Linked DNA regions of Canis lupus familiaris. The protein of the gene in region 6 interacts with the protein of the main gene of each other region in a pairwise test. Links are inferred from orthologs where the notes say so. Each region holds a gene or a part of one and is shown on either strand. Other genes may lie near its edges.

What was found.
Region 1: the proteins of NFE2L2 (region 6) and ATF4 interact in binary tests that used the Homo sapiens proteins (3 or more experiments, as listed by UniProt). The link is inferred for Canis lupus familiaris from reciprocal best matches to the Homo sapiens genes NFE2L2 and ATF4.
Region 2: the proteins of NFE2L2 (region 6) and MAFK interact in binary tests that used the Homo sapiens proteins (3 or more experiments, as listed by UniProt). The link is inferred for Canis lupus familiaris from reciprocal best matches to the Homo sapiens genes NFE2L2 and MAFK.
Region 3: the proteins of NFE2L2 (region 6) and WW domain-containing adapter protein with coiled-coil interact in a two-hybrid assay, tested with the Homo sapiens proteins (2 studies listed by BioGRID and IntAct). The two-hybrid records come from large-scale screens. The link is inferred for Canis lupus familiaris from reciprocal best matches to the Homo sapiens genes NFE2L2 and WAC.
Region 4: the proteins of NFE2L2 (region 6) and MAFG interact in binary tests that used the Homo sapiens proteins (3 or more experiments, as listed by UniProt). The link is inferred for Canis lupus familiaris from reciprocal best matches to the Homo sapiens genes NFE2L2 and MAFG.
Region 5: the proteins of NFE2L2 (region 6) and TNNT1 interact in binary tests that used the Homo sapiens proteins (3 or more experiments, as listed by UniProt). The two-hybrid records come from large-scale screens. The link is inferred for Canis lupus familiaris from reciprocal best matches to the Homo sapiens genes NFE2L2 and TNNT1.
Region 7: the proteins of NFE2L2 (region 6) and MAFF interact in binary tests that used the Homo sapiens proteins (3 or more experiments, as listed by UniProt). The link is inferred for Canis lupus familiaris from reciprocal best matches to the Homo sapiens genes NFE2L2 and MAFF.

The regions. Positions count from the first base shown.
Region 1 is NC_049231.1:26,489,723-26,493,517, forward strand, and holds ATF4 (cyclic AMP-dependent transcription factor ATF-4), read right to left. Parts: upstream 2,646-3,795; 5' UTR 2,432-2,645; intron 1,824-2,431; 5' UTR 1,732-1,823; coding exon 1,506-1,731; intron 1,413-1,505; coding exon 586-1,412; 3' UTR 501-585; downstream 1-500. UniProt on the Homo sapiens protein: Transcription factor that binds the cAMP response element (CRE) (consensus: 5'-GTGACGT[AC][AG]-3') and displays two biological functions, as regulator of metabolic and redox processes under normal cellular conditions, and as master transcription factor during integrated stress response (ISR).
Region 2 is NC_049227.1:15,573,349-15,577,350, forward strand, and holds the start of MAFK (transcription factor MafK), read right to left. Parts: upstream 2,801-4,002; 5' UTR 2,747-2,800; intron 496-2,746; exon of another isoform or gene 1-495. UniProt on the Homo sapiens protein: Since they lack a putative transactivation domain, the small Mafs behave as transcriptional repressors when they dimerize among themselves.
Region 3 is NC_049223.1:15,360,465-15,363,964, forward strand, and holds part of WW domain-containing adapter protein with coiled-coil, read right to left. Parts: intron 2,461-3,500; coding exon 2,312-2,460; intron 1-2,311.
Region 4 is NC_049230.1:1,190,586-1,194,755, reverse strand, and holds the start of MAFG (transcription factor MafG), read right to left. Parts: upstream 2,801-4,170; 5' UTR 2,748-2,800; intron 2,348-2,747; exon of another isoform or gene 2,219-2,347; intron 2,053-2,218; exon of another isoform or gene 2,032-2,052; intron 1,817-2,031; exon of another isoform or gene 1,420-1,816; intron 1,229-1,419; exon of another isoform or gene 1-1,228. UniProt on the Homo sapiens protein: Since they lack a putative transactivation domain, the small Mafs behave as transcriptional repressors when they dimerize among themselves.
Region 5 is NC_049222.1:103,244,240-103,248,536, reverse strand, and holds the start of TNNT1 (troponin T, slow skeletal muscle), read right to left. Parts: upstream 2,801-4,297; 5' UTR 2,737-2,800; intron 2,119-2,736; exon of another isoform or gene 2,008-2,118; intron 1,430-2,007; exon of another isoform or gene 1,403-1,429; 5' UTR 1,393-1,402; coding exon 1,361-1,392; exon of another isoform or gene 1,260-1,360; coding exon 1,246-1,259; exon of another isoform or gene 1,072-1,245; coding exon 1,042-1,071; intron 797-1,041; coding exon 764-796; intron 55-763; coding exon 33-54; intron 1-32. Other genes in the region: TNNI3 (troponin I, cardiac muscle), read right to left, coding at 4,161-4,244. UniProt on the Homo sapiens protein: Troponin T is the tropomyosin-binding subunit of troponin, the thin filament regulatory complex which confers calcium-sensitivity to striated muscle actomyosin ATPase activity.
Region 6 is NC_049257.1:21,323,584-21,327,083, forward strand, and holds part of NFE2L2 (nuclear factor erythroid 2-related factor 2), read right to left. Parts: intron 1,943-3,500; coding exon 1,676-1,942; intron 1,150-1,675; coding exon 1,060-1,149; intron 424-1,059; coding exon 232-423; intron 1-231.
Region 7 is NC_049231.1:27,483,728-27,487,915, forward strand, and holds the start of MAFF (transcription factor MafF), read right to left. Parts: upstream 2,801-4,188; 5' UTR 2,647-2,800; intron 1-2,646. UniProt on the Homo sapiens protein: Since they lack a putative transactivation domain, the small Mafs behave as transcriptional repressors when they dimerize among themselves.

The DNA.
Region 1 (3,795 bases), on a different chromosome or scaffold from region 6:
GCCCCACAGGGTTACCCCAGGGACCAGGAGAAAGCACATAAAAAGCTCACACTACCTGGTGCCACACTGGGTGTCCCCATCGCCATTCCAATGAACGTCAAGACTGGCTCTTCCTGGAGAGCTAGCCCTGCACACCAATTGCAGCAAGGATTCCTCTGGTCAGATTGCCAGCCTTTGAGCCCAGCACTGGCTAAGAATTTCTGCATCTCTTTAAAACTCCTTTAACAGTCCATTCCAAGAAAAACCCAAAGACCTTTTCTTTGCAGTTCCAGGATTGAGTTTACAGAACTTGAGTTCAAAGTGGAATTTAACCTTGTATGCCCAGGTGGGGCCTTACCTGGGTACTCAAGACTAGTCAGTGTTATGGCTTATGAGGCCACAGCCTCACCCCCAGAGTCTCCTGTGGAGGCCCTGAGCCCAACAGGATTGAGCCAACTCCACTTGACTTGGTCACCATCACCAGGGTAGAGATTAAGACAAGAAACCAGGTACACACGAGCTCAAGTACTTTCACTACAAAATAATTTATTACAACACAGCTTCAGCGCAAGCCTATGTACAAGCACACATTCCTGACACCCCCAACTAGGGGACCCTTTTCTTCTCCCTGGCCTTTCTGACCTCCTCTATCAAATCTTTCAGATACTGGATCTCCTTAGCTAAAGAATCTGCCCTCTCCTTCAGAGCCTCGTTCTTCTTTTCCAGTTCTTTACACTCACCAGTGAGGGCTTCCTGCTCTGCCCTCTTCTTCTGGCGGTACCTAGTGGCTGCTGTCTTGTTCTGCTCCATTTTTTTCAGTTTCTTATCTAGTTTCTCAACCTTTACTTTTGCGGTCTTCTCTCCAGGAGGGTCATAGGGTTTGGGGCGGGCAGAACCACAGAGGGAACCTGGAGACAGCAGGCTCCTATTTGGAGAGCCCCTGGAGGTAGAGGGGCTATGCTGGGGGGACCCAAGATAGGACTCAGGACTCATACAGATGCCACTGTCATTATCTGAGGGGGCATCTTCCTCCTTTATGCACTGAGGGATCACGGTAATGTAAGCAGTAGAATCTGACTTTCTATCTCCTTCAGAGATATCCACTTCACTGCCTAGCTCTAAACTAAAAGAATGATCTGGAGTGGAGGACAGGGCCCCTGGGGAGAGTGGAAGTGGTTGCAGAAAGGTAAAGGGGGCAATCTGGTCTGTTTTTGGTAAACTTTCTGGGAGATGGCCAATTGGGTTCACGATCTGAGGGGGCTCCTTATTAGTCTCCTGGACTAGGGGGTCAAAGAGATCACACGTGTCATCCAACGTGGCCAAAAGCTCATCTGGCATGGTTTCCAGGTCATCTATACTGAACAGAGTGTCAAAATCAAACTCCTTCAGATCCATTTTCTCCACCATCCAATCTGTCCCGGAGAAGGCATCCTCTGCAAAAGAGTCAAGAAGGAACCCGAGAGGTCAGACGCACACTTCAGCAACAGCCCGGAGACCAGACCCGGCGGCCAACGACCCCCACTCACCCTTGCCGTTGTCTGAGGCACTGACCAACCCATCCAAAGCCAGCCATTCGGAGGAGCCCGCCTTAGCCTTGTCGCTGGAGAACCCATGAGGTTTGAAGTGCTTGGCCACCTCCAGGTAGTCGTCTAAGAGACCTAGGCTTTCCTCAGCCCCCAAACCCGACTGGTCGAAGGGGGACATCAAGTCCCCCACCAACACCTCGCTGCTCAGGAAACTCATCTCGGCCATGTCGCGGGACTTTACTGGAATCGAGGAATGTGCTTAATTCGAAGGTGTCTTTGTCGGTTACAGCAACGCTGCTGCTGGATGCCGTGAAAAGCCTGAAACGGAAGCAGAAACCGAAACCCCTTCGACATCGGCCGGTCCGGGAAGCTCATCCCTTCCTCCCGGGGGCAGGACGGCCAGACTGGAACTCCACTCGGGAGCAGAGGCTCGGGGACACGTGGCCCCGGGGCCATGGCTTCCACCTTCCCCGCGGCCCCGTCGGGCCGCCCAAGATGGACGCCCTCGGGGCCGGGCCGCTCCTCCCCCCGCCGCCGGAGGAGGCGCGCCCGGCTCATGTCCAAATACGGCCCAGGCCGCCCGGCCCCGCCCACGGCCGCCCGTGACTCACGCTGCGCCGCCGCCGCCCTGCCCGGCCGCCATCTTGGCCCCTGCCACGTTTCGCGGGGGGCCGGGCGGGAAGCCGTCGGGGGCCGCGGCCGGGGCCGGGGCCGCCGAGGGCTCGCTTCTCCCCGCCGGGCCGCACTCTCCTGACCCAGAAGCGTCGGCGTCTCGAGGACACCCAAACAGGGGCCACGCGTCCCGGGCGCTCGTAAAGCCGCTTCCCCCTACGCGGCACCGCCCCGCCCCGCCGCAGGCCGCGCCCAGGCGGGCCGACTGCCCTCGCCGACCCGGGGGAGCACGGCGCGGGCGGCCCCGTACTTACGCCATGGCTTAAGCCGCTGGGGGGTGCCGCTGCAGAGCCTGGTGCTGCTGCCGCCGCTGCAAAGGCCAATGCTGCCGCAGGCACTGCTGCCTCTAATACGCCATGGCGGCCGCGGACCCTGGGGGATTGGAGGAGGGAAGGCGCACGCTTGCCACAGGGATCTACATCTACAGGCGGGAGGAAGGGAAATGGCCGCGCCGCGCCGATCGAGGGTCCTTTATAGACTTTGCCTCTATGAGGACGCATCACACCGCACATCCTTCCGCCGCGGTCACGTGACCCGCGCCTCCCACCCACCCGTCTTCGCGATCCGACGCCCCTATCGTGTCCGACCAGCGACTTTTAGGTCCACGGCGTAGCTGTGAAGAGAAGAGTTGTTACTTCCAACGTCTCGAGAAAGGAAAAAGGCGCGCTACTTTGCAAGGCTACTAAGATCAAAGAGCCTCTCCTCCCTCTGCCGCCGGGAGCGCGGAGGGATTCCTCAGACACACCTCGCTTCCGGCGTCAGCCTGGGGGGCGGGGAGAGAAGTCTTTCACCTCAAGGAAGGTTTTTATTGTGAAGTCAGAGGCCGCCTGGTTATCGCGCGAGATGCTGGCGGAGAGCGAGCGTCGAGCTGATTGGTTAGACATGGTGAGTCATATATATCTCGGTTTCCTATTGGCTCAGACCCCGGGATGGGCGGGCCGCTCCGAGCGGGAGGCCGGGTCCGAGCGGGAAGGGGCGGAGCGGCCAGCGGGGTTCCCGCCGCCGGGCTGTGTCCTCCGTGGCCGCGTCTCGGTGAATCCGCTCTGTAGTGGCTTCTTGAGCCTGGCGTACGCGAGGCTGTCCGAGACGACCCTGGCTCCTCCCCCGGGCTTCTGGAGCCCGAGGAGTCCCAAACGGCGACATCAGGCCCTGGCCCCTGTGGTCCCTTCCTGCCACCCTCCGTCCAGCTCCGAATTAGAGACCCAAGTTCAGGCCCGAGATGAAACTAGGCAAAAGGAAGTGGAATTTCGGGTGCGTTTTCATCACACGCAAGCACCGAAGTAGCTGAAAGGGGAGACTGAGGGCCTCAGTCGGGTTCTAAACGCTCCCCACACACCGTCAGGGGCCAACGCCGCGTCCTTCCCGTGAACTCTCCAGTCCGGTCGGGAAGGTGCACAATCTAGCCCAGTTAGTGACTCTCGCATACCGGCCTGCCAAAACGTTTCTGTTAAAAGTATGCAGTCTATCACAGGGAACTTCTTTTGGTTTATACAGATGCAGTTCCCCTAAGAGATTTTGTTAAACTGGTATCTGTCCCTCTCCCAATTCTGCAACCTGGTGGGGGGAGAATCTTGAGCACCCACGCCCACTCACGGAGGTTTGGAGGTTCGTGTTTGGA
Region 2 (4,002 bases), on a different chromosome or scaffold from region 6:
GGCCTCAGCCCGCCTCCCTGCAGATGCTCCAGCCCTCCAGCAGCACCTGGCTCAGGCCTCGGCTTCTTCCATCTGGACCTTGGTCCCTCCAATGTAGGCCCCAGGATAGGAAGAACCACCTGCCCAAAGGCCCTCCTGAGCCCCTTGCTCCCTGGCTACCTGTCGCCTTCCAGGCCTCCAGCTCTGCCTTCTAGGGCCCCCACAATCAGTGCTCCTGCCCTCCTCCCTCAACCCCTACTGTACCAGAAAGCCCCCTCCTGCCCTCCCTGTGGCAGGCGGGCACCCTCTGGTGAGCATAAATCAAGGGCTGAGCCCAAGACTTGGTCCTGGTCTCTCTGTCCGAGGCTTGCTCCCCTCGCTGGAAGGAGAGCAGCGGATGTTCTTAACTACACCTGTTCCCCTCAACTTCCAGCAAGTGGGAGGCATGCTGCCTAACCACACGTGAGCACTGCACTGAAGGGAGGGGGCTCTGGGGCACCCCCCGTCCAGGGCAGCCCACGTGACACAGAAAAGCAGGCAGGGTGCTACGCCAGACCCCGGGTGTCAGACTCTGGCGCTACAGGCCAGGTGAGGAGGCTTCAGGCTTGGGGTCCTCATCTAAAGCGGGAGGGGGTGGGGGGGGGGCGTGGACTGCATGATCCGTACCATGTATCTCTACCTGTTCTAAAGTTCTATGATTTTAAGACAACACTTTCAATTTCCTGAAACTGTAAGAAAGAGGAAACATGACGAGTCTGGGACTTACAAAAAGCAAAAGTAAACACGGGAGCAATGCATCTTCCATCGGCAGGGAGCAGGGAGGCGGGGAGCAGAGGGGAGGGTGAGTCACTGTTTACTGCTCTGAGGAGCAACCACACAGAGAACGCTCACAGCTGCCCGGGTTCCATTTCCCGTGTGGACTGGACCCTAAAGCCAGAAAGTCCACTCCAGAAACCTTTAGACTCGGGACCAGGCAGGCCTTCTTCTCGGCTCCTGAGACAGTAAACAGACTCTCCAGCTATTGGAGCTCCAAGAGAGCCCGCGTGTGGGGCAGCAGACACTTGGGCGGACGAAGGTGGGTCGGGAGAGCCACCTCACTGCAGCCCTGCCGGGCCCTGGAGACAGGGCTGGAACGAAGCAAGCCACAGCAGTGACTTCCCCAGTAGCCCCAATTCGACTCCCATTTTTAGCAACCACCTTGAAAGTGAGTGGGGCTGAACTTGGACCACATCCCTTAAAGTCCAGCTATGCTCAAACACAGACGCAAAGGCACTCCAAAGAGAAGTCTTGCTTTGTGTTCCTGGGTCAGTAAACTTTATTTTGGAACCACAGGAGGACCGGGGTTAAGTTCTAAAAGCAGACCTCCCTCCTCCCCGCCCCCCCCCCCCCCTCCCCGAGCTCAAACTCAAAACACTGCTACTGGGTTACCTCCTGAGGGAAGTTCTGCAAAAGATGTCAACTACCCACAATGCAAGAGAGGTTTAGGTGTGCCTCACCCACCTGCACAGCCCACCTTCCACTTCTCAGACCCCTCCCACCCGCGTGGACAGACACTCTTTAAGAAGCCCCATCCCAGAAGGCATGGTGCTTGGAGAGGCCCAGCGCACACGGTGGAGAGCGGCACTCTGCCGAGATATACCTGTGCTGGGAGGGCTGTAACAGCAAAATCTCCAGTGCCCATAAAGGGGAGGGAAGAGGGGGAGGGGAGGGCGTCCAAGTCACACGGACCCAGGAAGCCACGGACCCCATCTGCGTGTAGGGATCTTCCGCACTGACCATCCAGCGGGGAAGCAGGGCTGCCCGACCAGAGAGCAGCGGGAAAGGTAAACAAGAGCATAATCATTAACGCAGAACAGAGCAGGGAACTTCCAGCACCCCAAAACATCAACGCTCCACGACTGTGTTCTGCTTTGTGAAAGCACTCCACAGCACGTGGCTGGCCAGAACAGCACGAGACGCCCAAGGCAAAGCCATCAGCTCTGCCTAAGGTAGACCCAGGTAGGGGGGACCCTCCCCCACCCCGTAGCCCTCCGAGGTTCCCGGGGCGGGGGCAGTGGACGCGGGTGGGCGGACCTGGGAGGGATGGAGACCCCCATTCGCAGACGAGAAGGTGAGGCCGCGGGGTTTGGGGCAAGCGTCCCCCTCCCCACTCAGAGCTCCCACCCCAAGGCCTGCCTCCGGGGAACCCCTGGCAGGTCAGCTGCTCCGAACGTGACAGCGGTCATGAGTCCCCTCGTCCTGTCCCCCCCGCCCCCGCCCCCAGCGCGGGTGGGCAGCCCCCGCCGGGCAGGGCGGCACCGGCCGGGTCGGCCCCGCGCCACCACGCGCTCCCCTGCACGTGGCCTGTATTTTCGCCCCCGCCTTCCCGCCTCCGAGCGGATCTCGGGGCCAAAGGCACCGCCGGCGGAGAGGGCTGGACAAGGAGCGCCGGGCCCGCCCGCACGCCCCGGGCTCCCCCCCGCGGGGCCCCCAGCCTCCCGCTCGGGCTCGGGGCGGCCCGGGGACCCGGAGAGCGCTCCGGGGCCTCAGGGGCGGGCGGCCCGGCCCGCGCGGCACCTGACGGCAGGTGCGCGGGCCGGGGTCTCGGGGTCCCGCCCAACTTCGCGGCCGCGCCGAGGCCGCCGTGACTCAGCGGCGCGCGGCCCCGCCCGCCCCCGGCCCGCCCCCGGCCGGCCCAGCCCCGGCCCCGGCCCCGGCCCCGGCCCCGACCCCGACCCCGGCCCCGGCCCCGGCCCACTCGGCCCGGCCCGGCCCGGCCGCTCCTCACCTGGCGTCGCGCGGGGGGCGCGGGCGCGCGGCGGCTCCTCGCGGGCACGCGCTCTCCTCGCGCTCGCGCTCACTCTCGCGCTCCCCTCGGCCGCCGCCTCCGCCGCGCGCTGGGGCTCCGACTTCGCAAAGAACAACAAGTCCCCCCCGCCGCCCGCCGCCAGCCCGCCCGCCCGGCTCCCCAGCATCTGACACCGCTTCCGGGATCGGCGTCGGCGCGCGTCACGCCGCCCCGCCCACTGCGCGCCGCCGCCGCCCGGCCCCGCCCCCCGGCCCCCGCCCGCCGCCCGCCGCGCGCCGCTCGCGGGCCCGGCCCCGCCCCCCGCCCCCAGCCCCCCGCCCACGGCCCGGCCCCGCCCCCCGCCCGCCGCGGCCCGGCCCCGCCCCGCCCCGCGCCCGCCCAGCGCCCGCCAGAGCGCCGCCGAGGGCTGCACCTGCGCTCAGGTGCCGCGCGCCCCGCGTGGTGGCGGTCGTCCCCAGTGAGGGAGCCGAGCCAAGAGCTCCCCCGTTGCCCACAACCGTGCGCCCCGGCCGCGCTGCTCGCCTCTCCCAGCCGGCCTCGCGCGCGTCCCCTCAGCCCCATTGGACCCTCGGGAGACTCCGCCGTCCCCAGGGGTGGTCCCAGCGGGAGCCCAGCTTGGGGGCAGGGGGCTCCACCTGGGAATCCAGCTGGAGTTCTCGTCCTGGGGGACAGTGCGCTAGACGCTACTGCCAGAGGCCAGGGTCCTGGGGTCTAATCGGGGAGGGCAGCCTCCTTGTACCATTGCCCCCGTCCCCGCCATGGACATCCCCATCTGTCCTTTGATTTCTCTTTTTTGGTCAAGAAATGGGTAAAGAAGGACGCCTGGGCGGTTCAGAGGTTGAGGGTATGCCTTCGGCTCAGGTCATGATCTCTGGGGACCTGCGATGGAGTTTCACACTGGGGTTCCTGCAGGGAGCCTGCTTCTCCCCCTGCCTATGTTTCTGCCTCTATCTGTGTGTCTCTCATGGATGAATAAATAAAATCTTTTTAAAAATGGTCAAAGAGAATTATTTCTCTTCTATAGAAATGGTGATGAACAGCTTTGGCCCAGGGCCTCAGTGTGAGGGGCTCCCAGGTTCAGGGACCTGGGGAACAGGTCCAGCTCGTGGTTGCAAAGGCAGGACCAGAACAGTGCCCTGGGTCACAGAGGGGGTGTTCTGGTCCCATGCCAGGTGGAGGACAGTCTGTGGAGGGGACCCCTCTGTAATAATCCACAACAAACAGAGACCAACCTT
Region 3 (3,500 bases), on a different chromosome or scaffold from region 6:
TCTGGATAGCCTGGCTACATAAAAATCATTTTTATAAGCATTTTTATAAGGTCTACTTAATACTGAATTCCCACTTAAAAAAAAATTTGATGCCCATATACATAAGGGATTTGAAATGCTAATCTTATAACTGATTGTAAAACTTTACAATCACTTTTAGTCATTATTTATTGTACTCCTAAGATACTACACCCTGATGAGTTTTAAGCTCTAAGAAGATCTCCTTTGTTGAAACAATTTTTTCCTTCTCTCACAAAGTGCAAACAGTATGAAATTGCAGAATAGACTAATTTCTTTTTAAATTTTGAGTTAAATGTATCAATCCAGACTGACCCTAAAATGAGTTTAGATAAATGACTTAAATAGGGAAGGGATAAGCTAAGGAAGACCTAAAAGCTGTCCTAGCATCAATTTCAAGTTATCTTTCAATACGTTTTTATTTTTAGGCTTCTGTGAAAAAGCCTAAAGCTTTAAGCCTTAACTTTATTTCAATATAAAATTTTGGCAAGACCCCTGGTTGGCTTAGTAGGTAGAGCATTCGACTCTTGGATCTCAGGGTTGTGAGTTCGAGCCCCACAATAAGCGTAGAGATTGCTTAAAAATAAAATCTTAGGGATCCCTGGGTGGCGCAGTGGTTTAGCGCCTGCCTTTGGCCCAGGGCGTGATCCTGGAGACCCGGGATCGAATCCCACGTTGGGCTCCTGGTGCGTGGAGCCTGCTTCTCCCTCTGCCTATGTCTCTGCCTCTCTCTCTGTGTGACTATCATAAATAAATAAAAAATAAAAAAAATAAAATAAAAAAAAAAAATAAAATCTTAAAAAAAAAAAAAATCTTCAGGGGATTCCTGGGTGGCTCTGCGGTTTGGCACCTGCCTTTGGCCCAGGGCCTGGTTCTGGAGTCCCAGGATCGAGTCCCACGTCGGGCTCCCTACATGGATCCTGCTTCTCTCTCTGCCTGCCTCTCTCTCTCTCTCTCTCTCTCTCTCTCTCTGTGTGTCTCTCATGAATAAATAAATAAACTCTTAAAAAAAAAAAAAGTTCCTTCTTAAAAAAAAAAATCTTCAGCATAAAGGATTGAAATAGCCTACTTTTTAACTAAAAAGAATTTCTTAAATTTACCATTAAGAAAAAAAACTGCAATTTGTGCATATACCAACTTCCAAATCTTTTAATGTTTTGCTGGTAATAGGACTACAAAGCAAAGAATGAGTATGACTAAGATTTGCTTAAGAAATTTTGGGTAAGGGATACCTGGGTAGCTCAGCAGGTAAGCGTCTGCCTTCCACCTAGAGTGTGATCCCAGAGTACTGGGATCAAGTCCCACATCGGGCTCCCTGCATGGAGCCTGCTTGTCCCTCTGCCTGTGTTTCTGCCTTTCTCTGTGTCTCTCACGAATAAATAAAATCTTAAAAAAAAAAAAAAATTTGGGCAAGACTCAAATGATATAGTATAAAATCTGAAGGCAGTGTTGTTAAGGTCTGGTTTATATTCCAGTAAGAAGAGACCAGCAATTTTCTAACGTCTCTGAGGAGCCATTCATGCAAACTTTTGCTTGGAGAAACACAGGTAGTATAAGCTTAGTAAAATGGATTCTGTGTTCAGAAAGACCTAGGCCTTAAATTCTGATTCCACCACAAAAACTGGATTTAACTGAAGGCTTAATTCTCTTATCTATTAAATGAAGCAAATAGTAGTTGATTCTCATGATGTGAAGTTAAATATAATACTATTAAGCTCTTAGCACAGAAATGGATTCATTTCTAAAATAAAAGTATGGGAGGAAAGCCACTGGAAAACAGGTTATATCTTTTAAAAAGTTAAAAAACTCTACAAATATTAAGACAATTATTTTATCCTTCTTTATCCCACTCTTCCTCCAGGTCACAAATCTCAGCCAGTAAGAGAAAACAATCAGCGTATAAAAGTAACACATATGATGGGGGTGCCTAGGTGGCTCAGTCAGTTATGTGTCTGACTTCCCGGTACTAGGATCAAGCCGCCAGTGAGCTCCCGGCTCAGCAAGGGGTCTGCTTCTCCCTCTGCCCTCCCCCCCCATACCCTCTCTGTAAATAAATAAATATAATTTTTAATTAAAAAAATGTTTAAAAGTAGCATAGATGCAACTCCCTCTAGAGTCCTCAATTTACTGAGACTAACCTGCATCTAAGCTGACCCATCATTCACTCCACCACTACTACACGTTCTCAAAGAGGGCTTTTCCTACAATAGAGAGTCTAAAACATTAAACTTGTTTTTCCAGAAGTGAGTGCTTTCGTGCTTTCTTTTCCAAATTTCCCTCAAAAGCAACATACCTTTGGCTGTGATGAAACAGGAGGAGTACTAATCAAAGGTTTGATAGGGACTGTGTTAGTCTGAGGTGTGCTTATTCTTGGAGACACATACGATCTTGGGGATGATGCATCAGAAGTTAAAGACATTGGAGACTGATTAGATGGCTGAGCTGTGAAAAAGTAAAGCAATTAATTAATTCCAAATAAACCAAAACTTCCGTAATATATATGTAGAGGTCTTTCCATCCCTCTACATGCCCCCTGAACACCAGACAGAACACTTAACTGTTTAAAGTCAGAATCTGAAATACTCACTGGAGTCACGGACTAAAAACGAGCTGTGAATTAGAGAAGCACATCCAATGTATGCCTCCTCCAACCTGTTTTTTCAGGCTGAAGCAAGAAGGTAAGCCTGAACTATTCTCACATGGAAGGCATCCTCACCATTCTTATTTGTTCTTTCTTATTCTATATTTAGGCCTGGTTATACCCCTTTATCTCCTGCCTCATGAGGATAACCAGAGAGTTAAGTCTTTGCACTATTATATTTCAATTTCAGAATAAGTGTTTCTGCTCAGTTTATTAGTTTTCAGAATTGGGGCAGGGGGACAAGTCAAAGTGACCAATTCATTTCTTCTTTGTTCCTATATATGCCTCTTTCCATTGGAGGTTTCATGGAGAAGAGAAATAGGTAATTTAAGACAGGACTTGAGCATTTCTGTATCCTGTGGTCAGTCAAAAATCATTAAACATCAAATGTGAACCAAACCAACACTTAAAATATATTCAATGTTTCATAAAAATTGAGGACCTATCAGTTTACACTCAGCTTTAGAGTACATTGACAACTTAAAGTCTGAATTAAATATGTATTACAGATTTAATGGCAATACTGCAAGATAAATGTCAATGTTTGCCTCATCTGGAAAAAAAAATACTGTATATACTAGTGTTAGAAAAAAAAATCATCAAACATCAGGGGTGTTTGAGTGGCTCAATAGGTTGGGCATCTGCCTTCTGCTCAGGTCATGGTCTCAGGGTCCCAGGATTGAGCCCCACATTAGGCTCCCTGCTCAGCAGAAAGTCTGTTTCTCCCCGCCCTCATGTACATTCTCTCAAATAAATAAATAAATAAATAAAATTAAAAACAAATTACAGGATCCTGTAAAACAAACATCAAATTGTTATAGCTAGTCTCTTCAGAAACCAA
Region 4 (4,170 bases), on a different chromosome or scaffold from region 6:
TCACCCTCACTGGGGAGATACAGCACAGGTGGGGGAGGTGGAAGTGCAAAGCGGCTTCAGGGTACAGCGGCCACCTCACCTAGCCCCGTCCTAGTCCCGGGACGTGCCTCACCACAGCCGGGTTCCCCAGGGCTCTGAGGCAGACCCTGAGGCTGGTCCCATGGCTGTTCCAGAGCAGAGGATGGAGAAGACACCAGCTGGAGGCCAGAAGATCCCCAGAGCCCCAGACCCACCCAGGGGGCTCCCCCAGCCTCGAGTCTGAGTCAGGGTACAGGGACACTCCCCTGGGTCTAACCGTTGTCAGCCCAAAGGAACAGCCCAAGCACCAGCTTTTCCCGCCAGCCATCCTCCCTCCACCCCCGAATGCTGAGCACAACGGTGACTTCCTGAAGAGATCACACAGAGAAGTGCCGAGTGTGGCGGCTGGAAGCTGAAAAGTGCCTCCTCGACAGATTTCACCCTCTGCAGAAGGCCTGAACTCAGCACAAGTGCAGCCACTCGCCTCCTAATCAAAGGTGTAGCGTGTGTCTGCGTGTGGTGGGGGAGGGGCAGGTCTCTGCAAAGCCTGTGCTTCAGGCTCCTGACCAGGCCTCTGCCCACCTGGGACACACACAGGTGTGACAGTGATAGCCTTTGGGGAGGGACTGTTAGAGACAGCTCAGGGTACCCCTAGAAGCCAAAGAAAGGGTACCCGGGAGGCCGGATTAAGGAGAAGCTTCTGCTTTTCCCCCGTCCCACAGGCTCTGTCATCCTTCCCCGCTCCCCTTCCCCAGAGGCTGAGCCACCTCGTAGAGAGGGCTCGGGTGGTCCCAACAGCCTGGAATCCCCAGGGTATGCTGGGCCACCTCCTCAGGCTGACAGCCAGCTGGGAAGGGAAAAACGGGTTCAAACAGTGCCACCCCTTACCTGGGCCCAAACCAGGATGTGGACAGGTGGCAAGAGCAACACAGCCAGCCAGCCCCTGCTCCTGGGCCTGGCCCCAAATTCTAGTGGCCTCAACCTAGCCTGGCCTTCACCACCTCCTCCGAGATCCCCCAGCCGCTGAAAGCCATTCTGGAAAAAGCCAACGACTCAATTTCCACTAAGAATAAAGAAGAAGACTTAGAAAACCAGCCCTTCGGGAATCTGCATTCCTCAGGTATAACATTGCCGCAGAAGGAAAGATCAGCTGAGGTGTTAAACATCTGGCATCGATGAGCCCAAAGCTAAGTATGCGTGTGTCTGTGAGTGCGCGCGTGTGTGTGTGTGTGTGGGGGGGGGGGGGGGGGGAGGGGGATCCCTGAAGACAGACCACAAGGCCGGCCAGACCTAGCCATGAACCACACCCCCGCCCCTGGAGGCCAGGAGCCATCCACAGTCAGGAAAGGTAGCCCAGGCCACACCACCCTCAGGCTGCCCCCTCCCAATCCCGACACTCACCGGGGCCACAGTCTTCACTAACACCCACACAGCACGGAGCCCAGCCTGGAGGGGGACAGCTCTGGGGTGATGGGGAGCGGAGTGCCTTCCGCGTGCCTCCCACACCAGCCCACCGGCTGTGCCCCAGGACCAGGCGCCCTCGGCTGTGGCCGCCACCTGCAGGGCTTGGACCCAAACCCCAAGGCCAGTCTGCCAAAGGGGCAGGGCCTGCTCACCAGCACCTCACTCCCCAGGTGCCAAAGTCCTGCCGCCCCGTCTCATTGGAGTTTCCTGGTAGAGCTGCACCTGCTCGCCCCTGCCCTGTCCACTGTCCTCCGGGACTGGAGAATCCAGGCACCCCTGTTTCTGCCACTGACTCCCTCCGGCCAGGGTGCATCCCTCCCTTCCCCGCCCAGGGGCTGCCCAGCCCAGCCCACTAGACCAGTCACAGGGAAAGCCTGCTTCCCAGCCTGGCAAGCACGGCCCCCCTAAGCTCCTCCCCTCCTCTCACTCAGAACTATTTCCCAGTTTGGGGAAGTGTCCCAGACGCCGGTTGGGGACCGGACGCCGGAGGCGAGCACGGCCGGGCGGGCCGGGCGGGCGGGGGCTTCATGTTCGGCCGGGACACGACACCTGCACGCAGGCCCCTGCACCTCGTCCTCGCCCAGCCTTCAGCTCGCCCAGAAGCCCAGACTTGAGCCGCTGCCCTGGGCCTGGCCCCCGCCCCGCTTCCCCTCCCGCTCTCATCCCCCGGCCTTTCAGACCCCAGGCCCCTGGCTCGGCCCCCCCCCCCCCCCCATTAGAACGAGCATCCAGTGACCTCATGCTGATGACTCAGCAAGTCTCCCTCCGGGCTCTGGCACGCGTGTGACGGAGCGAAGCCGGCGCGGGCAGGGTCTTCCCGGGCCCGCCACGTGCCGCCCCCCCCGCGGCCCGCCGGGGACCCCAGCGCCCGGGCCGGCGGGCACGGACACCTGATGAATCAGCAGCCGGGCCCCGGGCTCTTCCGCGGAGCCGCGGGCGCCCCGCTCCACCCCACCCTTTCCTCCCGCCACACGGCCGCCCCTCCCACCAGGGCGCCCGGGGCTCCGCCGAGCGGGCCCCGCCGACGCCCCGCCCCGCCCTCCTCCGGCCCCCGCGGCCCACCCCCGGCACCCCGGGCGCCAGGGCCCGCGGCCGCTCCGACCCGCGGGGAAACCGAGGCACGGGCCGCCGGGAGCGCGCCGGCAAACGAGCAGCGGGGAGCGCGCGGCCCGCCCGCCGCCGCCGCCGCCCGGGGAGCCGCCGCCCGCCCGCCCGCCCCCGCCCGGGCCCGACCCCCGCCGCCGGCCCGCCGCCGCCGCACTCACCCAGCACACTGCGGGCCCGGGCGGGCCGAGGCCGGGCGGCCGGCGGGCGGGGGTCGGGGCCGCGCGGGGGCTCCGGGCCCGGGGTGGGGGCTCGCCGCCTGCGCGGGCCGGGCCGAGCGCGCTGGGAAGGCCGGGCCGGACCAGGCTCGGGATCCGCCGCCGCCGCCGCCGCCGCCGCCGCTCCACAGACGTCACATGATGTTTGGTCACGTGGGCTCCATTCATGAAGCGGCGACGGGCCGGCCGCGGCTTAAAGGGGCCGGAGCGGCGGCGCGGCGGCACTGCGCCTGCGCGGGGAGCCGCGCCCGCGGCCTCGCCCTGCCCCGCGCTCCCCCCGCCGCCGCCCCCGCCGCCCCCGCCGCCCCCGGCTCGCAGGGGCCCCGCAGCGCCGTCCAGCGTCCGCGCGGGGGGCTGCCCTGCGCCCAGTCCTAGAGGCGCCCGCGCCGCGGCCCGCTCCGCCGGCGAGACCCTTCCCGCGCCGTCGGGGCTGTCGGGGCTCCGGGCCCGCGAGGCCGCGTCTGCCCCCGCCCTCCAGGGACCTCTGGCTGCTGCTCGGCTCCCAGGGAAACAGGCCCCCGGGGGAAGAAGGGACGTCGGGGGGATCCCGTCGCCTCTGCACTTCCCTTCTCGGGTGTAGAGCCGAGCAGGGCGGCTCACCTGGCCGGGCGGGCCCGGGGCACCCAGGTGAGCTGGCGCAGGCGCAGCGAGAGGCCGGCGGCGGGGTTTTGATGGGAATTCAGTGCCACCGCCTGAGGAAGGCCATCTGCAGAGGTCCCCAAAGCCAGGGCGCGAGGGCACCCGCAGGACCCCCGCCCCCTCCAGGAGGAGGTTTCCCTGTGGTTGTCTGTCCCAAAGTGCTAAGGCCAGGGCGCGACCTCGTACGGGGCGTGGCTGCAGTCTCAGAGACTCCAGGGCCCTAAGACATCTGGGCTGTGACTCTCAATTTCTTTTTCTTTGAGGATTTTGTTTGTAAGTACTCTTTCCACCCAAGATGGGGCTCGAACGCACAACCTCAAGATGGCACGTCCTACAGACTGAGCCAGCCAGGTGTCCCTGGGCCATGACTTTTATAGCCAACTCGATATACTAGCAACAACGAAGGCCTGCCCTTGAGGACGGAAATGCAGTCCTGTGGCCTCTAGCTCCACCAGCCTCCCCACCGCCACCACCAGCTCAGTTCTCCAGGTCACACCTGGTGGAGACGTAGAGTCTGACCGACTGCTGGGCCAGGGGCCACTCCACACAGCAGGACCCTGGCAGGCCACGCAGGCTTGACCTGGTGCCGCCCAGCTCAAGCCGGGAATCACGATGCCATCAGAAAATAGAAGCAACTGACCCCGGGGCTGGGACCACCATGGGTGCAAGCTCACTGGCTAATCCGCTCACGTTCCCACACCCCCAACTCCTCAGTCCTCACAGGATG
Region 5 (4,297 bases), on a different chromosome or scaffold from region 6:
GTGATTGGGATGCTTAGCCCCTAGGATCTCACCTTGGTTTGGGACGCTCCTCTTCTAGTGGGGAGATACAAAGAGATAATTAGCAAGAGTTCATGGGGGTGGGCCTGATACACCCAGAGGAGGGAACTCCCCTCCAAGCCATAGACCCCAGGAGCAGCTCTGGGGGAGAGGCATGAGTAGGGGGGGAGAAGAGGGAACAAGGGAAATCAGGAAGAGGAGGATCACACGCATCAGATATACATTCAGAACTGGTGTGGGGTCCCCCTCCCACTTCTCTGGGAACCCAGGGCTCCAACCCCCCCAGACCTTCCTCTTACATACCAAAGCTCCTGCTCTTCTGCATTTACACCTAGCACTTCAGGGTGCCCCCAGCCCCTCCCCTCTGGGGACACAAGAATCCAGACGCCCAGGGAGAGCCCTTTCTGCAACTCACACCCCAACCTTTGAATGTATATGAAGGAGAAAAGTGACAGGGTCGGGGACTTAGATGGGGGTGGGGTGGGGGTGTCTGTCCGCAAACATCCAACCCTTCTACAAGAATTCCTCCAGGCTGGGGAAGAAGGCTTGGGTGTCGGTCCCTTTAAGAAGGAAGGGAATGGGTTAAAGCCTCGGCGAGGCCGTTTCCCTTCGTGGACACCAGAGGGCGCGCGAGCTCTCCGGAGCTTAAAGGACCGGGCCTGGGCGGGTTATGCGGGCGCAGGGGTCCTCGCAGGGCTCGGGGCCCGAGGAAATCCGTCTCGGGAAGCGAAGCAGCCGCGGTTACCTCGCTCTGCCACGGGCTCCGGCTCCTCGGCGGCTGGGGAGGAGGAGGCAGGGGGAGAAGCGAGGAGGGGGTAGCGAGGGGGAGCGGCCACGCCGGGGTGCGGGGGGCGGGGGGGGGGGGCAGGGAGGAAAGAAAGGGTAGAGGCTGTTAAAGGACCTGAAGCCGGGGCGGTCGGGAGCCCCGTGCCCGCCGGCCCCGCCACGCCCAGCGCCCCCTCCCCACCCAGCCCCGGCCCCGCGGGGCTGCCTGGGCCGCAGACCTGCGGGTCCAGGCCTCACCTTCCTCCTCCTCCTCCGCAGCCTCCTCTTCTGGAAGGGCAGGGGGCAGAAAAGGCAGGGTTAGAACCCCACAAGAGAGCACGCCCAGGGTGCTGCGACCCCGAGGGTGGCCGCCCCGGGTGGCCGGGGGCGATGGGCGACCCTTGTCCTCGGGCCTCCCGCGCGTGTCCCCAGGCCACCGAGGGCCACCCACTCCCCACTCACCTTCGGGCTGCTCCCTGAGGACACAGGAAGAGGACAGAGAGGCAGGGTTAGCGTGTTGGAGGTGGGAGAGGGTCCCACCTCTCCATACCCCAGCCCTCCCACCAGCACCACTCACTCCTCATACTCCTGCTCCTCGGTGTCCGACATCCTGTGTCACCTAAGGACCAAAGAACATGCGACTGAGGTGGGGTCCCGATGGAGGAGGGGCTGGGGGCCAGAGTCCTGGGTCTGAGGGAGGAGGGAATGGGGGCCTGAAGTCCTGGGTCTGAGGGAGGAGGGAATGGGGGCCTGAAGTCCTGGGTCTGAGGGAGGAGGGCCTGGGGGCCTTGACCCCTGGGTCTGAGGGAGGAGGGGCTGGGGGCCTGGACTCCCCAGTCTCAGGAAGGAGGGGCTGGGAGCCCTGACAGGGAAAGGGCTCTGGGAGGTGTGGGGGGAGCACAGCCCCAAAGCTGCAGCTCCTGCCCCTCCACCACCACAGCTGTCCTCCTTTGTCTTATGACATGTCCATGGGAACCTGATCTGAGTGGAGATTAGGAGAAGGTATTTGGGAAGGGACTGTGGCCTGAAGACAATAGCTGCCCCACCCCCCAAAGGCTATTTTGGGGGGATGTCGTAGATGGTGAAACAGAGGACATTTCCTAAGAAGGGATTCAAGGGGGGAGGCTCCTGGGAGAATTAGTCACGCAGGCTCCCTCTCCACCCCTCCCCCTCCCCCTATCTGGTTATCTTCCCACCTGGCCCCTCCTGGCCCCCTACCCACAGCCTTGAAGGAAGCTGGACTCATCAAGAGCAGTGAAGTCCACACATCTCACCCTGACTCCTACATAGACACCACATCATCTTTGGGATTCCCCCAGGACCAACAGTATCCAGGTTAAGAGCACCCCCAAATCCTGAGACCCACAGATCCTGAGCCCCTCCAACTGATGATGCCCCTAGTTTCTGGGGACAAGCAAGGCCTCATGTCTCCAGATTCTGAGAACCCCATTCTTGAGATTCCAGCGTCTGGGCTGACATCCCCAGATCTTGACGCTCTAGGTCTCGACACCTACATTCTAAAGCCTCAACGTCTTGAGACCCCAAAATCTAGACGCCCAAGCTCAGAGGTACAATTCATGTTGCCCCAAAATTTGGTACCTCCAATCATATGGCTTCAGACCTGGAGACCTCAATTCTCAAATCCCCAGAGTCTGAGGCTCCCAGTCCTGACACCCAGCCCATAAATGTCCAAGCCCAGATATCCCCAATTTCTGAGATTCCCTCTGAGCTCCTAGGTCTGAAGGTGTTATATTCTGGGACACCCCAATCTCGGCACCCCCAGACTCCATAACTCCCAAATCCTAATACCTCTGTCCTCAGGCCTCATAAAGCCTGAACTTCCCAGGAATTCCCAAGCCTTAAGTTTGTACCACCTCCACCTCCGTAGCCACCCCTCCTGTCGTCTCCCCCCCCCCCATCTCCCCCCAGTACGAAGCTCCTGGAGACCATTACCTAAGGCTGAGTCTGCAGAGTCGGTGAGCAAATGGGCAGGGCAGATCTGTTGCTGACCCTGCGAGTGGAAGCACCCCTGGTTTATAGTGGAGTCTCAGCCCCGCCCCCCAGGGGAGAGGGAGGGCCTGAGAATTCCTCTCTCAGACCCAGAGTCCAGCTCAGAGGCTGCCCTGCCCCCGCTCTGGCTGCATATTCAGGATCCTGGCACCTCCTGGGGGTCTAGGGACCCCTTCACCCCATCAGCATGGCCTCGCACCTAGACTGGGTCAGGTGACCTCCAACCTCCGGGCTCCCCACCTCCCTTACAGCACGCTGAACCCGATGCTTTGAAGTCCCTGGGCTTGGCACACAGTAGGTCCTCAGAGAATACTTACTGACAAAAAGAGCACAAGGGGTGCTTCCTCTTATAAGGCTCTTGTCCCAGTTTCTGTGTCTCTTCGGGCCTCTCTGCATCTCTGATACTGTCCATCTCTCCTTTGTCTCTGGGACCCTCCACCTGTGTGTCTCTGTCTCTGTCTCTGTCAACCCCCTCCCACCCCCACCCCTTTGTCTGCCACCAGGATTCCATCCTGGTGACAACAGGCGCTAAAGCCGGGAAGCAGGTGTGGGTCGGGGGAGGGGAGAGGGTGTGGTGTCAGGCCCATGACCTCACACTCCCCCACCTTCATCTGACACTGAGCTGTTGGGTATTCCTGCCCCCCTTACCCTTACCCACAGCCGGCCACGACCTTGAACCCTAAGGGAGCCAGCCACCCCTCCTGCTTCTCAGTGTCTCTGTCTCTCCCTGCCTATCATCTCTGTTTCTCTTTCTGGGCATTTCTCCAGGGGCTGTCTCTCTGGGTCTCTCCGAGTCTGTGTTTTCACTCCCTGTGTCTCCCCATGCATTTTTGTCTCTGCATTTCTGGGGGTGAATCTGTCAATTTCTGTGAATCTGTCTACTGGCATATGAATGTGTGTGACCTCATTTATGTCTTTCTTTGGCTCTGCATCCGTGTCTTCCTCCATGTCTCTGCATTGTCCCTCTTTCAGTCCCTATTTCTGCCTTGTTTGGTGGTCTCTGATGTGCTTTGTGCACATCGGCCTCTCCATTTCCCCTTTCTTTGCAGGTCTTTCTAGGAATCTCTGTCTTTTCTCCCTCTCTGTGGGTCTCTGGCTGTCTCTGTGTGTGTGCATGTCTCTCTCCTTGGACCTCGGTCTGGGCATCTCTGCACACCCTGCGTGTGAGGCATAAGAGCTGGGAACGCCCCCTACTGCAGACCCAGCTCTGCTCCTGCTGTGTGGTGTGGCTTTGGGGGACTCTCCCCTCAGTCTTCTCATCTCCCTCACACCGGACCCCCAGGTAGCAGACTTGCAGCCATTTCTAGCTCAGAGAGAAACTTTATTCCTCAAGGACACCTTCAGGGCCAGGGCAGGGGGCAGCCAGCTCAGCCTTCAAACTTTTTCTTGCGGCCCTCCATTCCACTCAGCGCATCGATGTTCTTACGCCAGTCTCCCACCTCCCGGTTTTCCTGGAGGAATGGGGCCAGGAGTGAGGGCTTCTCTCCCATCTACACTCTCTCAA
Region 6 (3,500 bases):
GGAGCCCCACATCGGGCTCCCTGCTTCCCCCTCTCCAACGCTTATGCTCCCCTGCTCTCTCCCTTATGCTCTCCTGCTCTCTCCCTCTCTCTCAAATAAATAAATAAAATATTAAAAAAAGCACCTTCCAATCCTTCCATTAAGTAGGTGGCATGTAAATAGTAACTGGATAATTAAAGGCACTGAATATCAAAGTGTCTTTGGTATTTATTGATATTAGATCTTAGTTACCTGCAGTTCTGGAATGGATAGTAGCTCCTCCCAAACTTGCTCAATGTCCTGCTGCATATTGTCTAAATCAGCAATGACTGACTGAACGGCAAGAGTCTGAGGTGACTGAGCCTGATTAGGAGCAATGAAGACTGGGTTTTCGATTTGGCTGGGAATATCAGGAACAAGGGACTGAAATGCAGCTGAAGAAACCTACAATTGACAGAGCATTTATCTCCATGAGTCTGCCAGCATCAGTGGAGAAGTACACCCCAAGGCACCCCCACAACACCTTCAACTGGACTTGGCTAACAGTTCTCTATTTCTTTAGTTATAACCACTTATGAAACCACTTATTAATGAAACAAATCTCTTTTTCCCCTGCCCGACTCTAAACTTAATCATTTACTAGTTTAGTTGTTTTATCCTATACATTCAAAGGTAAATTTCAAAATAAGTATAAATCTTTAGGATTTTTAATTTGTATGTCTCAGTAAAAATATCTAGTATAGTGCTTCAAACATAATAAATTTACTAAAAGTGTTAATTGAGCAAGTCTTGGTTTATTACCCAGCTTGCTTTTTACACACCAAAATTTATTTCTAAGTACCTACAACCAATGAGTCATTTGTTTCCATGGTTATGCAGATCCATGCTTCTGGCTATACAGCAGTAAGTGTATATTTTGTAGAGATATATTTTTTTTAATTGTAAAGTTATCTACAGGCTAAGGATTCTTTGACAAAATTTCCTCTTAAAATATTTTTTTTTACCGGAGACACACTTAGAGGATATATTAGATACAGTGATTAGATATAGTGGAGGAGTTTCACTGTTAACCAAATGTACCTCATTGTCATCTACGAACGGGAATGTCTCTGCCAAAAGCTGCATGCAGTCATCAAAGTACAAAGCATCTGGCTTGGGAATGTGGGGAACCTAGATAAAAGAGAGAGACATAAAAGAAAAAAAAGATTGTTCAGTGTCATACGGTGTTTATAATTTAGTTAGACATTTATCTTCTTTCCGAAATCAGTTTAGTGTAGTACAGAGCACAGAATCAAATCAACCAGACTATCTGGGTTTGAATCTTGGTTTCCCCAGTTTTGAGCGCTCCGGGCAAGCAAGTTACTGAATCTCTGAGCTGCAACTGCTCATCTGCAGACAAGATGCGAGTACTCTGTACTACTTTTACCGCTGCCACCACCGCTGCTGCTTGACACTTACGTATGTTTCCACAGCTTAGAAAGCACCTTCCCGTGATTTATGTCCTCCCAATCCTACAACTCTGTGAGGAACTCATCAGGAAGCTGAGGTTGGGAAGGTGACTTGATATGGTCATGAAGACAGTAAAAGGCATAAAAAAAGGTGAAGTGAAACTCAAATCCAGATGTTTTAACTCTTGGGTCGGTATTAGTTCCATAAACCCTGCCACACACCTTCCCAAGAACAGAGTTTTCTGTACCTGGGAGTAGTTGGCAGATGCACTGGTTTCCGATGGGATGTGTGGGGCTGGCTGAACCGGAAGGAATTCACCGGTCTCTTCGTCTAGTTGTAACTGAGCAAAGAAAGCTTTCTCTTGCTCCTTTTGGAGTTGTTCTTGTCTTTCCTTTTCAAGTTTTTTCTGTTTTTCCAGCTCATGCTCCTTCCGTCGTTGACTGAAGTCAAATACTTCTCGACTGACCCCAAGATCTATATCTTGCCTCCAAAGTATGTCAATCAAATCCATGTCCTATGTTTAAAAAAAGGGAAAGAGAGAGACCATGGTTAAGATGGTTTTTAAAATGGCAGATATCATGTAGTTTACATTATGCCACTGTTGATGGCCGGTGGTAGGGAGATGACGATCTGAATGGGAACACAGATCCCATGTTCTGGAAGGACACGGTTAATTCCAATCAATGAATCAAGAAACAAGAACGTACAAACAGCCATCCATTCTAATACTTATAACTTGGATTATTAATGACCGGGTGGTAGTAGAGGTCACTACGGAGCAAAGGAACACGCACATTAAAGCTCTTGAATTAAGGGAAGCCCCACACGTGTTTAATGGAATACAGAAATGAGAGTAACTCCAAGCCACTGGTTTACTATGAGAAATGGGAGTTTGGGAAACATGATCAAATATGTGGAGTTTCTTCTAAACTCAGCAAATATCCAGTTTACAGAGTGGGGGAAAACCCCTGCTAAATGTCAATCTAGCAGCTGTGAAACAGCACCATTCTTTTGGTGTTTCCTACACGGATTACTTTCCCCCATCATCTCTAGCAACTCTTGTTCCTGTGGTTCATTTATGGAAACAATCTCCGGACTTGGGTGTTCGCTCCGGAGGCCTGCACAAATGAGTACGGGGAAGTCCTGGCTAATGGTCATCTCGTGACCCGCAGGTGAAGCAGGGGGCTGCAAGGGGCTGCCCTGGGAAAGGGTTTCACTTCTGGGAAATCACAAATAACCCTCTTAAAAACAAACACAAAATAAATTAAAAACAAACAAACATGGCTCCAGGGAAGGATGGAAGGTACTAAAAGTTTTAAGATACAGGGAGAGTCTTGCCACGAGAGTAATGGTTATTTTGATCTCTGTGACAAAGCTAGGCCGACGTACCACGTCTAGATTTTTCTAATCACAAATGTGTCAAAAAGCAATTTTTCTGACTTACAACTTTAGTTTTTGGAAAAGTCTACACAGGTAGGAAATAAATTTGTATTTTTTTAAAGATTTTATGTCTCCCCCTGCCTGTGTCTTTGCCTCTCTCTCTCTCTGAATAAATAAATAAATAATATCAAAAAAATTTTTATGTATACATGAGACACAGAGGCAGAGACCCAGGCCGAGGGAGAAGCAGGCTCCCTGTGCGGAGCCCGACATGGGACTCGATCCTGGGTCCCCGGGGTCATGGCCTGGCCCGAAGGCGGTGCCCGACCGCTGAGCCCCCAGGCGTCCCCCTGTAGGACATTTAGATCACTTCCCAGCTAAGAAGTCATCTGTACTGAAAATAATATAATGAGACTAACAGTGGAGAGATCCAGGCGCGGGGAGGGGAGCAGGGCTGACAGCGGGTCCGGCCGGGGACACCGGCTGCCCCGGGGACACCGGCTCGGACACCGGCACCAGGTCTAGACCCGCCGACTGGCTCCTCCCGGGACCAAGGGGCGCGATGCCTCCTGAGCGGCTATTTCCAGCCGAGAGCGGGGAGCCCAGGCCACCTTCGGCCCGGGCCCTGGGGAGGGCAGCCTCTCTGGAGGCTTTGGGGAGCCGCCGGCCTCCCGGGCCCGGCCCGCCGCACT
Region 7 (4,188 bases), on a different chromosome or scaffold from region 6:
CAGCCTCCACCACCGGCCCTGCCATCTGTCCTCTCCTAAGAGCTGTCAGAGGGAGCACTGCTGACAGCTGACACAAACCTACACACCTGCTCATGCTCCGTGCATTTCAAAACCCTGCAATGCCAGCCCCCACTCCAGCCCACGCTGTGGGTCCCCCAGGTCTCCACTGTATTGTCTCCCCACTCTCTCCCAGGAGCCTCATGCTAACAATGAAGGAACAGACAGGAAACACTACCATCCTAGTACATTTCCCACAAGGAGTGTGTGTGTGTGTGAGAGAGAGAGAGAGAGAGAGAGGATGGCACGTGGGTTCTGAAGGATCTGCTCACTTTTGAGAGATTGCTTCAAGAAATCCTATAGCCTGTTCGGACTTTCTGCTTCCCTGGGGGTTCCCAGGCCTTTTTCTCCAAGTGCTGTGGAATTTTTCCAGGACATGGATCTGGTGCTCATTCATTCATTTAATCAGCAAACTTCCAAGAGGCACCTACTCTGCCCAGACTTGTTGCTGGGTCCCAAAGGCCAAAAGAGGAATCACAACCCCTGCCTGTAGGGGCTCCATAGATGACCATCCCTCCATCTGGCAACCCAACTCACTGGTCACCTCCTCAGAGAAGCCTCCCTTGATGGTCCTGGCTAAGTTAGAGCCCCGTGACATACTTCAAATCAATGTCTTCTCCTCATACTACCCATCTCAGCTGTGGTTTTGCTTTTAGTTTGGTAGCTCTTCTTCAACTTTGTTTCCCTGCTCCCAGAGGGCAGGCTCTGGACCTGGTTTCTTCACCATCTCATCCCCAGCACCTGACCCACAGCAGATGGCAACGCAGGCCAGAAGTGTCAGGACTGAGGAAGGCTGTCCCATGCTGGGTCCCAGACCCAGGGAAGGCCCAGAGGTGATTCAATGGAAGGTCAAAACTTTCAGTGCTAGCTTTCCAGCCAACCAGCCACTTCCCCTTGTCCCCTGACCCCCTGCCCTACTGGGGGACATTTCCTGTCCAGCCCTGAAGGATGGGCCTGCCTGGTTCCTGTGCTCCTGGCTGCCACCTCCCTTACTCAAACGCTATACTCCAGGACATCCCTGGCTCCAGCCTGGGGCTGTTGGCTCCTCTTTCTCTCACACAGGTCCCCTGGAAAATAGCTGGTGTGCAGAGGCTGCCATACCTCTACCATTCTACACCCATCCTGCCACCCCAAATATTGTCTAGTTCCTGCTGCAGATGGCGACACTGATTCCCAGCTGTGGTACCAGAGCTCACCAGGGCTCAAAGGCTTGAGGTTAAAAGATCGTCTGGTTCCTCCCCCCAGCAAACTCAATTACTGCCCCCCACCAAGCTCTGAGGGTGGGAGGAGGGCAGAAGAGGACCAAGGAACCCCAACCCTGAATGTCAGTGGGCTCTTGGGGAGAGGGGCTAGGTCAGGGCCCTGCCTCTCACATCTTAACCCTTCATGGACCAAGACCACCTGTTGCCACCTGCCTGTGGACCATGCCCAGCCCAGGGTGAGGACTCTGGGTCCTAGGGCTGGCCCAGGCCTTCAACTAGCTCCTCAGGTCCAACCATCAATAGGTCTGACTAATCCCACCTGTGAACTGAAACTACCAGGAGAGCAGAAACCAGCTCCACCCCAACCTCCCGGTCTCACCCTCCCCAACCCAGCAGGTACAACCTCCAGAACCAGGACCAGCCAGAGTGGCCACCAGAGAGAGGAGGCCAGGGATTCCTTCTGACTTGCCACCTTTGCGTTGGGTTTTCTGGTCCTTCTTCCTCCTGAGAGGGAGGGGATGGACCCCCACCCCGTGCTGGAAAACCTGGGGACCAGGACAGAGGCACCAGCCTATTTTGTTGCCAGCCCGATGGATCGGGGTGCTGAGGCCAGGGCCGGCCCTCTCTCACCCCTCAGTCCAGCCGGGTGGGGCCTTTGATACTTTGCCCCACCCTGTGGCTGCAGGCGCCCGCTCTGGGCCAGGGACAAGCACGGCAGTCACATGGCCGTGTCCCTGGGAAACTCCGTAGACCGAAGGGCCCGGCTGCGGACTGGTCGGAAGGGGACAGCCCAAGGGAGAGTTCCCGTCCCCCCGTGTGACCAGGGAGCTGGCCACTTCCGTCGATCGAGTCCCTGTTCTGCGTTTATTCATGTGGGGACACTCTTTCCGAGGGGCACAGCACACGGCTGGCACGCAGGCCGCAGGGGGGTCTTCGGCCCCGGGAGCGCGTGGGCGGGCGGACACACACGCACACGCACGCCCCCCCGCCTGTCTCACTCACGCACCCGGTAAGATACGAGGGCCCCCGGCCGGGAACAGACACACACGCCCGCCCCCGCCCCCGCCCTCGGAGGTAAACAAACCGCGCACGCACGGCCCGCGGGCGGGCGTCCAGGGACTGCTCTCGCCGAGTCACGTACGTGCACACGCCGCCCCCGGCCCCGCCTGGGCGGACGCCGCCGCTCGCCGGCCTGCGCTGCCCGGTCCCGTCCCGTCCCGTCCCGCCGCGCCCCGCCCAGCTCGGTGCCCCCGACCTCCGGGCCCCGCTCCCCCGCCACCCGGCGTCCGGGCGAGGGCACCCCGCGGGCCCCGGGCACGATCCCGGGCACCCGGCCCTGCGCCCCGGCTTCCGCGCGCCCGTCCCCGCCTCGGAGCCCTTCCCTCACCCGCCTCTCGGCCCGCTCCGCCTGGCCCCGCCGCCGCCGTCCGGGCTGGCTGTCCCGGCCCGGCGCCCTGGTCCTGGCTCCCTCCGGTCCCGACCGCGGGTCGCTCCGAGCCGGGCTCCCGAGAGCGCCGCGCCGAGTTTTGTTGTGGGGCGGGCGGCGCGGGGGGCGGCGCGGAGTTGTAAGGCGAGCTTCCCGGAATTACTCACTCACAGGATTCCTTTCATTCATAAAAACCCAGTCATGCGGTGACGTCACCGCCCGGCGGTCCCTCCGGCCCCCGAGCGGCCTCCCGGCCCTCGGCCCCGCCCCCAGCCGGCCCCGCCCACATAGGGCCCCCACCCCGGGCCTCCGCGCGGCCGGGCCGGGCTCCTCCACCCGCGTGAGAGCCCCTGCGCGGTGCGTTCACGTGACGCCTCGCGAGAGCCGCGTGGGCGGAGGTGTCGTTCGTCTCATTTTGCAGTCGCCAGCCCCGCGCCTCTTCTCCTTTCAACCTACACCCTCCGCCTCGATGATCTCATGCAGTCCCGTGGTTTTAAATGCCACCCATGATCTCCAGGGAGCGCTGAGTCCTGGACTGCCCACTCTGCACCTCCACCTGGGTGCCAGATGAGGACGGCAAACATCCAGCTCTCGACCCACCACCCTGCCCCAGCTCCCGGTACCCGCAGACTCCCCACTTTCAGTTGTTCAAGCCCATTGCTCTTTCTGCCTTCATCCCCATCGGTCAGGCTGGCTCCACCTCCAACGCGGTCCAGCGTCTGACCCTCCTTCCCACCCCCCAATCCTGGCCCCTGGGCCAGGCACCATCAATTCACCTGGAGAACAGCAGCAAGCCTCCTGACAGCTTCCCCACTTTGCCTCTAAAGGCTTTCATCACACACCCGACGAGGTTCTTAAAACAAGGATCAGACCGTTTCACACACTCACACCCTCTGGCTTAACACCCTCAATAGCTTCCATTTGCATTGAGAATATAGACTATACTCCTCCTTCTGGTCTATAGGGCCCTAAGCCATCTGGCCTCTACCCAGTTCTGCAGCCTCACCTCCTTCCATTCTCCCCTCACCCACTACCCTTCAGCCACACTGCCCTTCCTACTGTTTTTCAAGCACACCTAGCTTTTTCCTACCACAGGTCCTTTGCACTAGCTATGTCCTCTGTTCACTGCCAGGTTTTCTCATCTCTCGAGTCAGCTTAGAGGTCGTTACCTCAGAGAGGCCTTTCCTGGCTGCTCTGGCCAAAAGAGCCCCCACTTCTGAAATATGTTTTTATATTACCTTACTATCTCCATAAGGTGTTACCTTGCTTATGTATTTGCTTACTATTCTTTTAAGATTTGATTTATTCATGAGAGACAGAGAGAGAGAGGCAGAGACATAGGCAAAGGGAGAAGCCAGCTCCCTGCAGGGACCGTGATGCGGGATTGGATCTCAGGACCCCAGGATCATGACCTGAGCTGAAGGTAAGAGGCTCAACCACTGAGCCACCCAGGCGTCCCTATTTAATGTCTGTCTTACCCAATCAGAATGTAAGTTTCTCGTC